2 linked regions of the Arabidopsis thaliana genome follow. The protein of the gene in region 1 binds, or shares a complex with, the protein of each later gene. Each region holds a gene or a part of one and is shown on either strand. Other genes may lie near its edges.

What was found. The genes of interacting proteins can lie anywhere in the genome.
Region 2: PnsB5 (region 1) and PnsL2 share a complex: the UniProt entries of both Arabidopsis thaliana proteins name them as parts of the chloroplast NDH complex.

The regions. Positions count from the first base shown.
Region 1 is NC_003076.8:17,577,781-17,584,328, forward strand, and holds PnsB5 (NAD(P)H dehydrogenase 18), read right to left. Parts: upstream 3,496-6,548; 5' UTR 3,366-3,495; coding exon 3,144-3,365; intron 3,069-3,143; coding exon 3,005-3,068; intron 2,899-3,004; coding exon 2,836-2,898; intron 2,757-2,835; coding exon 2,698-2,756; intron 2,551-2,697; coding exon 2,320-2,550; 3' UTR 2,087-2,319; downstream 1-2,086. Other genes in the region: AT5G43755 (non-LTR retrolelement reverse transcriptase-like protein), read right to left, coding at 5,197-5,447, 5,547-5,780, 5,947-5,992. UniProt on the Arabidopsis thaliana protein: NDH shuttles electrons from NAD(P)H:plastoquinone, via FMN and iron-sulfur (Fe-S) centers, to quinones in the photosynthetic chain and possibly in a chloroplast respiratory chain.
Region 2 is NC_003070.9:4,837,521-4,843,081, reverse strand, and holds PnsL2 (PsbQ-like 2), read right to left. Parts: upstream 3,282-5,561; 5' UTR 3,198-3,281; coding exon 2,724-3,197; coding exon of another isoform or gene 2,709-2,723; exon of another isoform or gene 2,549-2,708; coding exon 2,450-2,548; 3' UTR 2,285-2,449; downstream 1-2,284. Other genes in the region: AT1G14160 (Uncharacterized protein family (UPF0497)), read left to right, coding at 1,422-1,711, 1,791-1,914, 2,069-2,284; UCP3 (Mitochondrial substrate carrier family protein), read left to right, coding at 3,480-3,866, 4,421-4,951. UniProt on the Arabidopsis thaliana protein: NDH shuttles electrons from NAD(P)H:plastoquinone, via FMN and iron-sulfur (Fe-S) centers, to quinones in the photosynthetic chain and possibly in a chloroplast respiratory chain.

The sequences.
Region 1 (6,548 bases):
TCTTAATTAGCCAATCAAAAATTACCATATAATATATTTAAACAAATTAAAACAATTAATCTCCCTAAATATATAAAAAGCTTAATTCATTAAAACCACTAAATTGAATTCATTGTAAATTTAAATCTTAACCATTCTTTTATAAATCCAAACTGACATAGAATTTTCTTTAATTGTAAAAAATTAAAGTCTAACCATTCTTTTATAAATCCAAACCGACTTATAATTTTGTTTAATTATAAAATCAAAACCCTAAACCTCCATTTTATAAATCCAAACCGACAGATAATTTTGTTTAACTGTAAAATTTAAACTCTAAATACTCTTCTATAATACCAAACCGAGATATAATTTTGTTTAACTATAAAATCTAAACCTTAAACCTCATTTTTATAAACCCAAACCAACATATAATTTATTTTTATTGTAAAATCTAAACCTTAAATGTTTTTTATAAACCCAAAACGACATATAATGTTGTTTAATTGTAAAATCTAAAATCAAACTCTTAGTTATAAACACAAACCGATATTTAATTTTCTTTAATTAAAAGTATACACATTTTGTTTCTTTAATTTGTTCCTTTTTCATGTTAATTTTTATTTATTTTAAAATATAGTATGAAATGTTTTGATTGACTAATTAAAATAGGATGAATAAGAGAATATTATAGTAAGAGGGTTTATCTATGTTTAAAATCATATATATGAAAGTTGACCAACTCTCTCCATATGAATGACACATTATCACACAAGAAAATGACATGTGTCATTCGATATTTTTAAAACTAAAAATTAATAAAATTAAATAAACAAATTAAATGTATCATCAATCCTACTCTTGATTGATTTTTTTAAAATAAAAATAAAAAACAAAAAAATATGTTAATAAATTAAGCACTACTTTCATTATATTCTTTTTATTTATATTTTTTTAGCAATAATCACTACTCTATAATGACTAAATTTTTTTTATAGCAATAATCACTACTCTATAAGACCTACCAAATAATTTAATACGCGATCATTTCTCTTATATGGATATATGCAATGACAGAAGATCTAAAAGTATTGACTTAAATGATACTTTCATTTTTGCTTTCTTTTTATTTTTTCATATGAATACTCTTGAAATCTTGTTCAATTTATATTAATTCTATATATTTAATCATGAGCCTATAACAATGTTGTTGGAGTATTATATCAGGGAATACATAAACCAAAAATAGTTTATTTATAATCAAGTTAGACAATTTTCAAATCATGCAAAACACGATCATTTTTCTAATATTGATATATGCAATGACAGAAGATCTAAAAGTGTTGACTTAAATGACATTTAGTTTTTGCTATCTTTTTATTTTCTTCATACCCCTTTTTCATACGAATACTCTTCAGATCTTGTTCAGTTGAAGTCAATCAAAACTTTAATCATGAGCTTATCACAATGTTGTTGAAGTACATAAAACAAAGAATTGATTTATTTATAATCGAGTAAGATAAATTTTAAACCACACAAGTAACATGGTTACACATAATTGTATCAAAATATCATATATTGTTGTTATATGTATTTTTGATAGTGAACAAATATTAACATCTTATAAATAGCTTTATACATGAAAATTAGAAATTGATATTTCGAGTTACAAATGAATCTAACCATAAAAATTGTAAATAATATGGATCTAATTTCATTAACAATACAAAAATAAACATAAATTAGCAAAACTAACAATCAATCTAAATATTTTTTAACAATTTTCAAAACAAACCCACGCGTAGCGTGGGTACTCATCTAGTATCATAGTAAAAACTGGTATGGAACTTACGAATAGTTTGCACAATATTAAAGAAAGTGTCAGAGATACGTTAAAGCATTTTCTTGTAGAGAGACTAGGGATTAGGAGTGGAGCTGGTTTGTCACTTGATGTTCCAACTCGATAGAACTCGAAGGTGTGTTTAGCTCCTCGGACTCTTCCACAATACTGGAACACTATATTGTTGTGTTTGGACCAGGGGATGAAGTTAGCGTGTGGCATACGTCAACCTCAAATTGTATGGTTTATCCACCATTGTATGAACTAATGATGGGTATGGAAACTCGTTGGGTCCATACGAGGTACTTAGATCTTAAAAAAACATATAGTGAAGAACAGAAACCTAACACTACAAGATGAGAATCTAGGTTTTATGGTACTAAAGAAAAATAAGAGAATGAACAATCAATATTATACACATTGTACCCCGTTCATTCATCAATTTTATAAAACAGTTTACATCAAAAGTCATGATTATAACGAGATCACAATCCATTATCTTATCGTGTGGCGATATCATCTTTCTCAATGGTGAAATCCCATACATCACCATATTTGTCATTAAAGTCCCAAATGCTCATTGTGTTGTAGTCATTAATGAGCTTGTCACGAGCTCCTCTCTCCAATTTGTATATCTGAGGCTCGAAGTTGTGTGGCTGGTCAGGTTTATCCATCTCTATTATACAGAACACTACCGTGAATAACGCTGCACCTATGAACAAGTACTCACCCTGCAACACACACACACAAACACTGGTGATTCTTTTTCTTCTCATACTTGGCTTAATTATCTAATCTCTTGTACGTCCTCCACAAAACAAAAGCGATAAAACTAGTAATGATAAATTTTGGAAGCAAGCAAAAGATTTTGAAGTTACCGGAGCATCAAAATACATCCCAAGAGCTATAGCAGGAAGAAACATACAAGAGATCAAACCTGCAGACATAAAAAAACCGCGAGTTTTCAATCAATCTGCGGTACATAAAAAGCACTAAAAAGCGGGTTAAATTCATACCTTGAAACCCATTAGTTTGATCCACAGCAGCAATGTCATCAGCAATTGCTCCCCAAAATGTTCCTAAGAAACATTTCCAAGAAGACTAATCAATCAATCAAACAAAGAAATATTATAGCTCTAAAATCGAAACAGCGACAAGAATCAATAGGAGAAACCAAAATTATACCCTTTTGAACTTCTCCTTCATAGTAAGTATGAGCTCCATCGTAATATCCATACTTGAAATCTTCCTATTAACAAAAGCGCTAACCAATCAGAAACAACTTTCAGCAGAATTATGAATTTAAAATCAATTGAATCTTTACCATTTCAATGCTATTAGTCTCGAATTGACCAATCGGGTCTTCGTTGATGTCTGGTTCGATCTGTGACAATCCAGCCGCTGAGACCAGCTTCGCTAACTTCAATCTCCGGCCGGATTTGCCGCATTTTACGACATTGACGATCTGATCAGAAACCCTAGCTCCGAATTTGGAATCAGTGACCTTTGGAATCGATTTGGGTGAGAGAATCGTGACCGTTGCCATTTTTTCACTCACTTTATCTTTTTCTTGCTCTGTCTCAGAGTTTTGGAGCCATAGAAAGAAAAAACGGTTCTTTTTTTTTTTGTGTGTTCGTTAGCGAAAGAGATTAGTAGTTTACTGGTTACTGTCTGTCATATTACCAAAGTGACTGACAAGTTCGTAAGCGTCACGTGGAACGTATTCATTTGATTGTCTTCTCTAGTTGGTTAGTGAACGCTTACATCGCGTGAAGACTATTGAAACGGCCCAACTTTGTCTTTGCTGAAATCAACAATATATATTAAGCCCAATTTGATTTACGTGACAATTGCTTAATTATTAAATTCAACCCAATATTTTCCTATATCCAGTTAAATGTAAAATTCAGTTCAGGTTAAACATCATAATACTTTGCATATTTTTAATAAGGAAAAAGCAAAACAAAAAAATAATGTATTAGCCGATTTATCGAATGCCTAAACAAGAAAGATCAATAACATTCTATGGACCAATTTGTTGAATCGTACAAAATGGTTTTGTTTGTCTAGACGCCTAAACAACCTGTTTTTAGAACTTTGTAAAGGATCTATGTAGTTGGCTTTGCTATGTTCGAATTAGTAACAAGGTCAAGGCACTTCATTGATTTAGGAGACAATGACATAAGAATCATAAAGAAATGATTCCCAACTGCAACTAATAAAGGCTGGAGTGGTTGGAGAGTAGGGTAAATTAAATGCTTTGCTCTTTCTTTGATTAATGGTTACCAATATCATGTCATGTTCTAGGGTAAAATTATTATAAACCAATTTCTCTATCATTTTACTAATGAATAGAATATCAATTTATCTCAACTACTTAGAATCAAATCTCACCCAAATTTAAACGCAACAAATATAAATTAAGATTTGGGGTTTAGGTGGATGGATTGCTACGAAGTACAAACATTTTTGATGTGGAAACTAGAATAACAAATAAAAGTCGGCCAAATTTTCAACGACAAATACATTAATGTTTTAATTTATGGACTATTGCGGTTAGGTACTTGTTATCCACTTATCTTCTTAATTCATCGAAGATATTAGCTTAATGATTTGTAATCCATGTGACATGCACTTACACATGTAGTGTTTATTGAATTATTATTATTTTTTTGTTGAAAGGTTTAGTGTCTAATGAAATGCAAATATATATTTGATTCCGATAGTTGAAATCAACACTAGTTAAGCTCCTTTTTTCTTCAATATTATCTATAGAAAATATGTACCATAATTTGCTTGAAGAATTTGAGATATCTTACCGATATAACTAAAGGTGCAGAGAGATTAAAAATCATAATTCATTTTGGAAATATTTTTTTTCTAAAGAACTCATTTTGGAACACACTTTTCTACCAACTACGAAAAAAAATTCAAACTGGTTTTGTTTATTTAAGATTTAAGAATGACTTGAAAAGGTAGAATTTGTAAAACCAATGAAGAAGAAAGAATTGTGGAGTGGTAGAGAATGGTTTCTTCAAACTTCTAAGAATAATTGTTGAACGTAATTGCTTCGTTTGGTAGGAATTTTCTTAGCAATTAGAATCAGTTCTATGTTATATAACAAACATATATTTTTGCATTACTTACCACACAAACTCTCCCCAAATTGTGTGTTGACACATACCAAATGATGATATAAATACAAAACTTATCACGCACGCGTTAAAGATTCACACGCATGTTATTGACTTGTGAAAATCTCACAAGTAGTTAGTACACATGAAACGATAGTTTAGTTTTGGGTTATGAACTTATGATATGAGTTAATGGCATCATTTTTTTTTTTTTTTTTTTAACACGAACTTCATTTTTATTACTTAGGAAACGTAGTCTGAAAACAGAGCATTTGAGATACACAATGGGATAAAGCTATGAACTATGTATGAAGACAGAGCATGTTTCTGGTTTTTCGCTAAAATATCAGCAGGTTGATTTGTTGATCTGTGTGACCACGTGAACTTGATTGCGTCAAACTTATTTCTCCAAACTTTGATTTCATGGATCCAATTGATAGCATCAAATCTTGAGCCTCTTCCATTCAGAACATTGACTAGGAGCTTGCAGTCGCCTTCAAGTATTACTTTTCTAAAGCCTCTTATCCATAATTGTTGCATGGTAAGAATTAGGCTTTGACATTCTGCTTCAAAGGCTGAGGAAACGGTCGCACCTGTCGCTTGAGCAGCCCCTTTGAACACGCCGTTATCATCTCTAATTATCCAAGCTGCCGTAGAGCCACGAACTCGATTCACAAAGCTGCCATCGTAATTACACTTAATCCATCCCATATGTGGTTTTTGCCACTGACTCTGAAACTGCCTAGTTGTGCCATTAGTCGTACTCGGAGTGGGAACTTGCGCACATAAGCCATTTGTGATCCATTCTTCCGCTTCATTTGTAGCATCTCTGATATCTCTCCACCAATCGTTCTGTTTTCGTTGGAACACTAGCTTATTACGGCTTTTCCATATTCTCCAAAGGATCGAGATAGGTAGCTGCCCTTGCATTGTATGTTGTCCTGCATTTTTATGAAATTCATAAATCTCTTTAATTTTTGTTTCATAATGCACCTGGGGATTTGATAGACTCGGAAGGGGAATGTTCGAAGCTCTCCATATTTGGCGAGCGTGTGGACACGTAAAGAACAAATGATCCGTAGTTTCTCTCGTTATGACACATCTACGACAAAAACTATCTGTGACGATTCTTCGGCTTTCAAGTTCAGAGTTGGTAGAATGGCATCATTTCTTATTTTCTTGATAATGACACAAAGTTTTCTTGTCTACAACATCATTTTAAGAAAATTAAACGTTTTTCACCAAAGCCGCGGGAATAAAATCATGAAGAATGGTTAGAACGTGGTATTTAAAGATGAGACCAGACCAAAGCAAGTCAATACAAAGTCAAATAGAACTCGATCGGAAACGATTATCAAATTTTGGATTTCTTTTTTTGGGGCAAATTTTGGTGTTTTGAACTGTATTTTTAATTGTTTGTTATGATTTCATATACAAATTAGTTTTAGATAGAATAATGAAAATATTTAAGTGAATACTATGTTGTAAAGTGTAAATAATAGACTTTTATAAGCCTTTTAACGAAAAAAGAATGTAAAAAATAAAATATAGACTTTTGTTTATGAAATTACAACCTCTTTGATAATGATATAACA
Region 2 (5,561 bases), on another chromosome or scaffold:
GGATGTACACTATAGAGTAGGTGAGAAGAAGAGGACACAAACAAGATTACAGAAGTCTTAGTCATTCATATGAAAAATCTCACGCTTACGCTTTCCATCAGTTTCTTAGTTGTACATCAAATCTCAAAAAAAGAGATGTTGACACTGGAACGTAAGCCCCGTTCAGTTTGGTCAGAAGAAAGACCCAAGTGAATAACTGTTTTGTAACGAACGGCCATATTATCATTCGTCGGAGAGAAGGCTCCAAACACGTGTCTCAGCCATATTATATCATTCGTCCGAGAGAAGGCTCCACACACGTGTCTCAGCCATATGTCTATCCGACGTAAAGATTCTCTCGTTGCCGAGGTTCCGCATCTCTACGGAAAAGTGACCCGCGGACTTATCTGGGCCTGAACTTTGACAAGTTTATAGTCCAATCACTTCGTACAGTGACGAGTTGAACTTACCAAAGTTCAGATGTATATATAAATACACTAGATATCCTCATAATCGTCGATGTGGGATGAAGTTACGTTTGCAAGCTAGAATCTCACCAAATCGGTATTCCTTGGGCCTTGACGGTGCAATAAGAAGAATCGATTCTTAAAAATTGGGACTCTAAAATTGGCGGGTTGAGCCAAGCCCGTGCAATAGTGCAACGCATGGGCGACTCGCGAAAGCCCAGATAGCAAGCTATCTTAGTGAGCTATCTCCCTCAAAAAATAGAGTTAATATCGTGTGGGCCGATGGCCCACATATCAGATATTAAACTGATAAGAACAGATACTACACTTGATCTTAGCCAAAAGGCCGAGAAAGGTATGAATTGTTCGTACGGCTCAGCTTCTATTTTATACCCAAAGCTATGACTAAAGCTCTTCTAAACTATCGATGTGGGACAATTCAAAAAGAACCTCTTGAACAAAAACGCCTATGAAAGACAAAACATCATAAGTTGTCGTCGTGCCTTAAAGCACTGAATTCAATCTGGGTAGCTTTAATCTTTTGAATTTCTTCTCTCTTTCTCTACGAATAAAATATATTCATCATTCTAAAAAAAATCACAGTCAAATTTAGTAAACACTTCAAAGTTTATAGCTTAGATTATTATTTAGCTACGGACATGAATACAATGCCAAAATGAGAATTCTTATTGGTTGTTGTTTGATGTAACAATATAGAGCAGGTACAGAGAGGATAAGCAAAAACACAAGATAACAAATAAATCTTTGCTCATTATATGTCCTCAGCAATAAACCTAAATTCTCTGTCTTTATATGTGAATTCCACAATTAATTATGCTTTAACATTTTTTTTATCTTGTATTCTTCATTATAATCAGCTACTTCAAAGTCTTAACCACTTCTTGAAGTGTTTCACTGTGGAGATTTATATAAACTGCAGACCCTTTTTGTTTAGTAAACAGTCACAGAGCAAAAATGGAAGAAGCAAAGCATAATGAAGCTGAGGAAGCACAAGGGATTGAAGCTAGGGAAGCAAAACAGATTGAAGCTGGGGAAACTTCAAGATCATCTAGGAAATTGATTACTTTTGAGCCAAAGTTGGTTATAAACAAAGGAATATCGGTTCTTGGATTCGTTCTGCGGTTATTTGCTGTTTTTGGAACTATAGGAAGCGCGCTTGCCATGGGAACAACACATGAATCTGTTGTCTCTTTGAGTCAGCTCGTACTTCTGAAAGTTAAATACAGCGACTTACCAACGCTCATGTAAAATATTCAGTGATCAGTATATCGATGAATCATGAATTTGATTGTGTATATATAATAATACTGCTCTGTTTTATAGGTTTTTCGTGGTTGCAAACGCCATTTCTGGTGGATATTTGGTTCTTTCTCTACCTGTGAGTATCTTTCATATCTTCAGTACTCAAGCTAAAACCTCGAGAATCATCTTGCTCGTTGTCGACACGGTAAATATCTCCCTCTTTAAGAGAACAAAACAGGGCACCAAATATCCAACTAACTTGTGACCCAAGAAAGCTAACATTTTAATGAAAACCCATATATAAATTTAAATTTGATCACTCAAAAGTGTTATGATTTATGGTTTCTATATATAATCAGGTGATGCTGGCTTTGGTTAGCTCTGGAGCATCTGCAGCAACAGCCACCGTGTATTTAGCTCACGAGGGGAACACAACTGCTAATTGGCCACCGATCTGCCAGCAATTTGACGGATTCTGTGAACGCATCTCGGGATCTCTCATCGGTTCTTTCTGCGCAGTGATCTTACTCATGCTTATTGTTATCAATTCCGCTATCTCCCTCTCTCGCCACTAAGATATCTATGCACATATATATATCGATCTGATTTTGCAGAGAAATCACGCAAACGAAATGTTTCTTGAATATACATTATTAAGTCTTTTAATTTTATATCTAATGTAACGAGTCCAGAGATTTCATGTGAAGAATGAAGAAAGACATATATACAATACAACTGAATTAAGCAAGAAACTCCACAACATTGTCTATCGATTTCAATGTCTTCTCGTAGTAAAGATAGGACTCGTACACCTTTGGCGTCCGTACATAGAAATCCAACTGTTATATCAAAATTATGAAAGATATCAATATTAACATGTGGTTAAAGTTTGACTTCCATATGATCATGTGTTACAAAACGCAACATTCAGTGTTATTAACAATCAAACCTTAAATTAGCATTAAAAATTACTAATTCTGTTTTTAATTTGTTCATTAATTATATAACGTATACCTCACTCATGTTTTCGACAAGCTCGTTTGCCGCCTGAACGTAATCATTCCGGCGACTCTCCGGCAAGATGTTCATGGCGTTGGTGAGATCCTGAGACAGATAAGCCTGTTTCAATCTTATGTAGAATATAACGTACCTCCACGACATGTGGTCCAACATCTCCCTCATGTCTCTTAATCCTTCAGCCGTCTGTTTTATACGCGCCGCCGCATCCTCAGGTGATAGTCCCGGCATAAAATATTTCTCCTTTATGAATGACCTTGTCCCCCATTTCTCCTGTGCTAATGCTGATGACGTAGCACCGCCGATGACCGTGAATGTTATTAGTGAAGTCAAGGTTCTCCGGCGGGTGAAGATGTCTTGTTGGGGTTCTCCGGTGCAACATACGACGGAGAACGGTTGGTTTACACGGCGATGATAAATTTTCCGGAGGAGATACGGTGGCGGAGTGTTGGTGGTGGTGAAGGAGCTCATTTGATTTTTGTTTTTGTTTTTCTTAAGGATATGAAATGGGAGGAGCTCAAAACTATAATGTCTACTCGGTCTTTCATGTTTTGCCACGTCGGCTGTTATCTCTAAAGTTTTGTATTTTAGAATTTGTGAACATGGGCCCATAAGACTTTAAAGCCCAATATTATGGAAACGACGTCGTCAAATACACTCTGATGACCGAAACGATGTCGTTGACTACGAAATAGAATCAAGTTGTGTTCTCTGTGATGGACATTGTGTTAGTGGTAATCAAATCCGGTGAAAATGGAGCGGAGCCGAGTGACCAGAGAAGCACCGACCGGAACCAGGATCCTGCTTGCTTCACTCTCTGCGATGGTTGCAGAGTCAGTTACGTTTCCGATTGATCTCACAAAGACTAGAATGCAGCTCCATGGTTCGGGATCCGCTTCTGGTGCGCATCGGATTGGCGCTTTCGGAGTCGTATCGGAGATTGCGAGAAAGGAAGGAGTGATTGGTCTCTACAAAGGTCTATCTCCGGCGATTATCAGACACCTGTTCTACACGCCTATCAGAATCATTGGATACGAGAATTTGAAAGGACTCATCGTCAGATCTGAAACTAACAATAGCGAGTCTCTTCCTCTCGCCACAAAGGCTCTCGTCGGAGGATTTTCTGGTGTTATAGCTCAGGTAACGGTGTTTCTTCACCGGTAAATCTTTAGAGTCATGTTTTGACTGTAAATTGGATCTGGATTAACAGTTGCTTAGAGTAGAATTAACATTTCGAATTGAACAATCGATCTCTATGTATAGTTTCCTTTGAATATGTTTCGTAGAAGAAGGTATTAATTAGAAGGAGATTTTGTTTCAAGTTTTATAGGCTTTCAATGTTCGTTTCATTCCAAAGTTAGCTGCTACTTTAGGTTGGTTCAGAGATAAGAACCAATGCAGATCCTAGTCATAGACGTCTCAATGTATTTCACAGATCCTTAATCCAAAATTTGTGCTTGCTTGTTGTCTCCTATGTGTTACAATTAAGTTCTCTCAGATCACTGATTACCTATGGAAACTCGTAGATTTCCGGCGAAGTTAATTATTAAGGATTTTCAATTGTTTTTACGCTACTGAAGTGAGAAATGTAGCTATCTTTTAGGTTGTTGATATCTTTAGAATTGACATTTGAGTGTTGTTTATACCTACACCACACTAAAATGCTTCTTATTGTGTCCATACTAGAAATGCAGGTAGTGGCTAGTCCAGCTGATTTGGTCAAAGTGAGAATGCAAGCAGATGGTAGATTGGTGAGCCAAGGCCTGAAACCGAGGTACTCGGGACCAATCGAGGCTTTTACCAAAATCCTACAATCAGAAGGAGTAAAAGGGTTATGGAAAGGTGTTCTTCCAAACATCCAGAGAGCATTTCTAGTGAATATGGGAGAACTAGCTTGCTATGATCACGCCAAACACTTTGTCATCGATAAGAAGATTGCTGAGGATAACATTTTTGCGCACACTCTTGCTTCTATAATGTCGGGTCTTGCTTCGACAAGTTTGAGTTGTCCAGCTGATGTGGTGAAGACGAGGATGATGAACCAGGGTGAAAATGCTGTGTACAGAAATTCTTACGACTGTTTGGTGAAGACGGTTAAGTTTGAAGGAATAAGAGCTTTGTGGAAAGGTTTCTTCCCGACATGGGCAAGGCTTGGACCGTGGCAGTTCGTGTTTTGGGTCTCCTATGAGAAGTTTAGACTGCTGGCAGGAATCTCTTCCTTCTAGACCTGAGAAACTGGAAAAGCAAATTTGAGATTTGTGTTCTTTAGTTCTTACTTGTTAGTTGTTACACATTTTGTAAGAACCTTGAGAAGTAGCATCAGTTTCTGATTAACGCGAGAAGAGTTATATAAATTTGGGCCCAAAAGTGTAGGCCCATAGATTTATCATTTTTTTTTTGTTGATTAAATTAGATTGGACATCCTAAGCAAAAAAATATTTTAAAAAGTAAGAGATTAATAAAATATTCCATAGAAATGTAATATGTGAATTTCAAAATTGCAATTAAAAAAAGTCGTGATGTTTGGCACATACAAAATATTATATGATAATGGAATAATATTAGATTTATCATTTATGTATATCGTATGTATATTTAAGTTAGAAAATTTTGTGTGTCATTTGTCCATGTATTAAATCGAAATTTGGCGCGTGGAAATCGTTGCCCAAACATATTGACGTCATTTTTCTTCTTCTTCTCCTCTATAATAAAGTAGACTTCTGTGAACGCGAAAAAAAAAAAAAAAACTGTATCCAATTTTCTGATTTCGTTTTTCCTTCTTTCCTTCAATAAGTAACTCTACACTGAATCAACTCCTCTGATTTCTCGATAAAA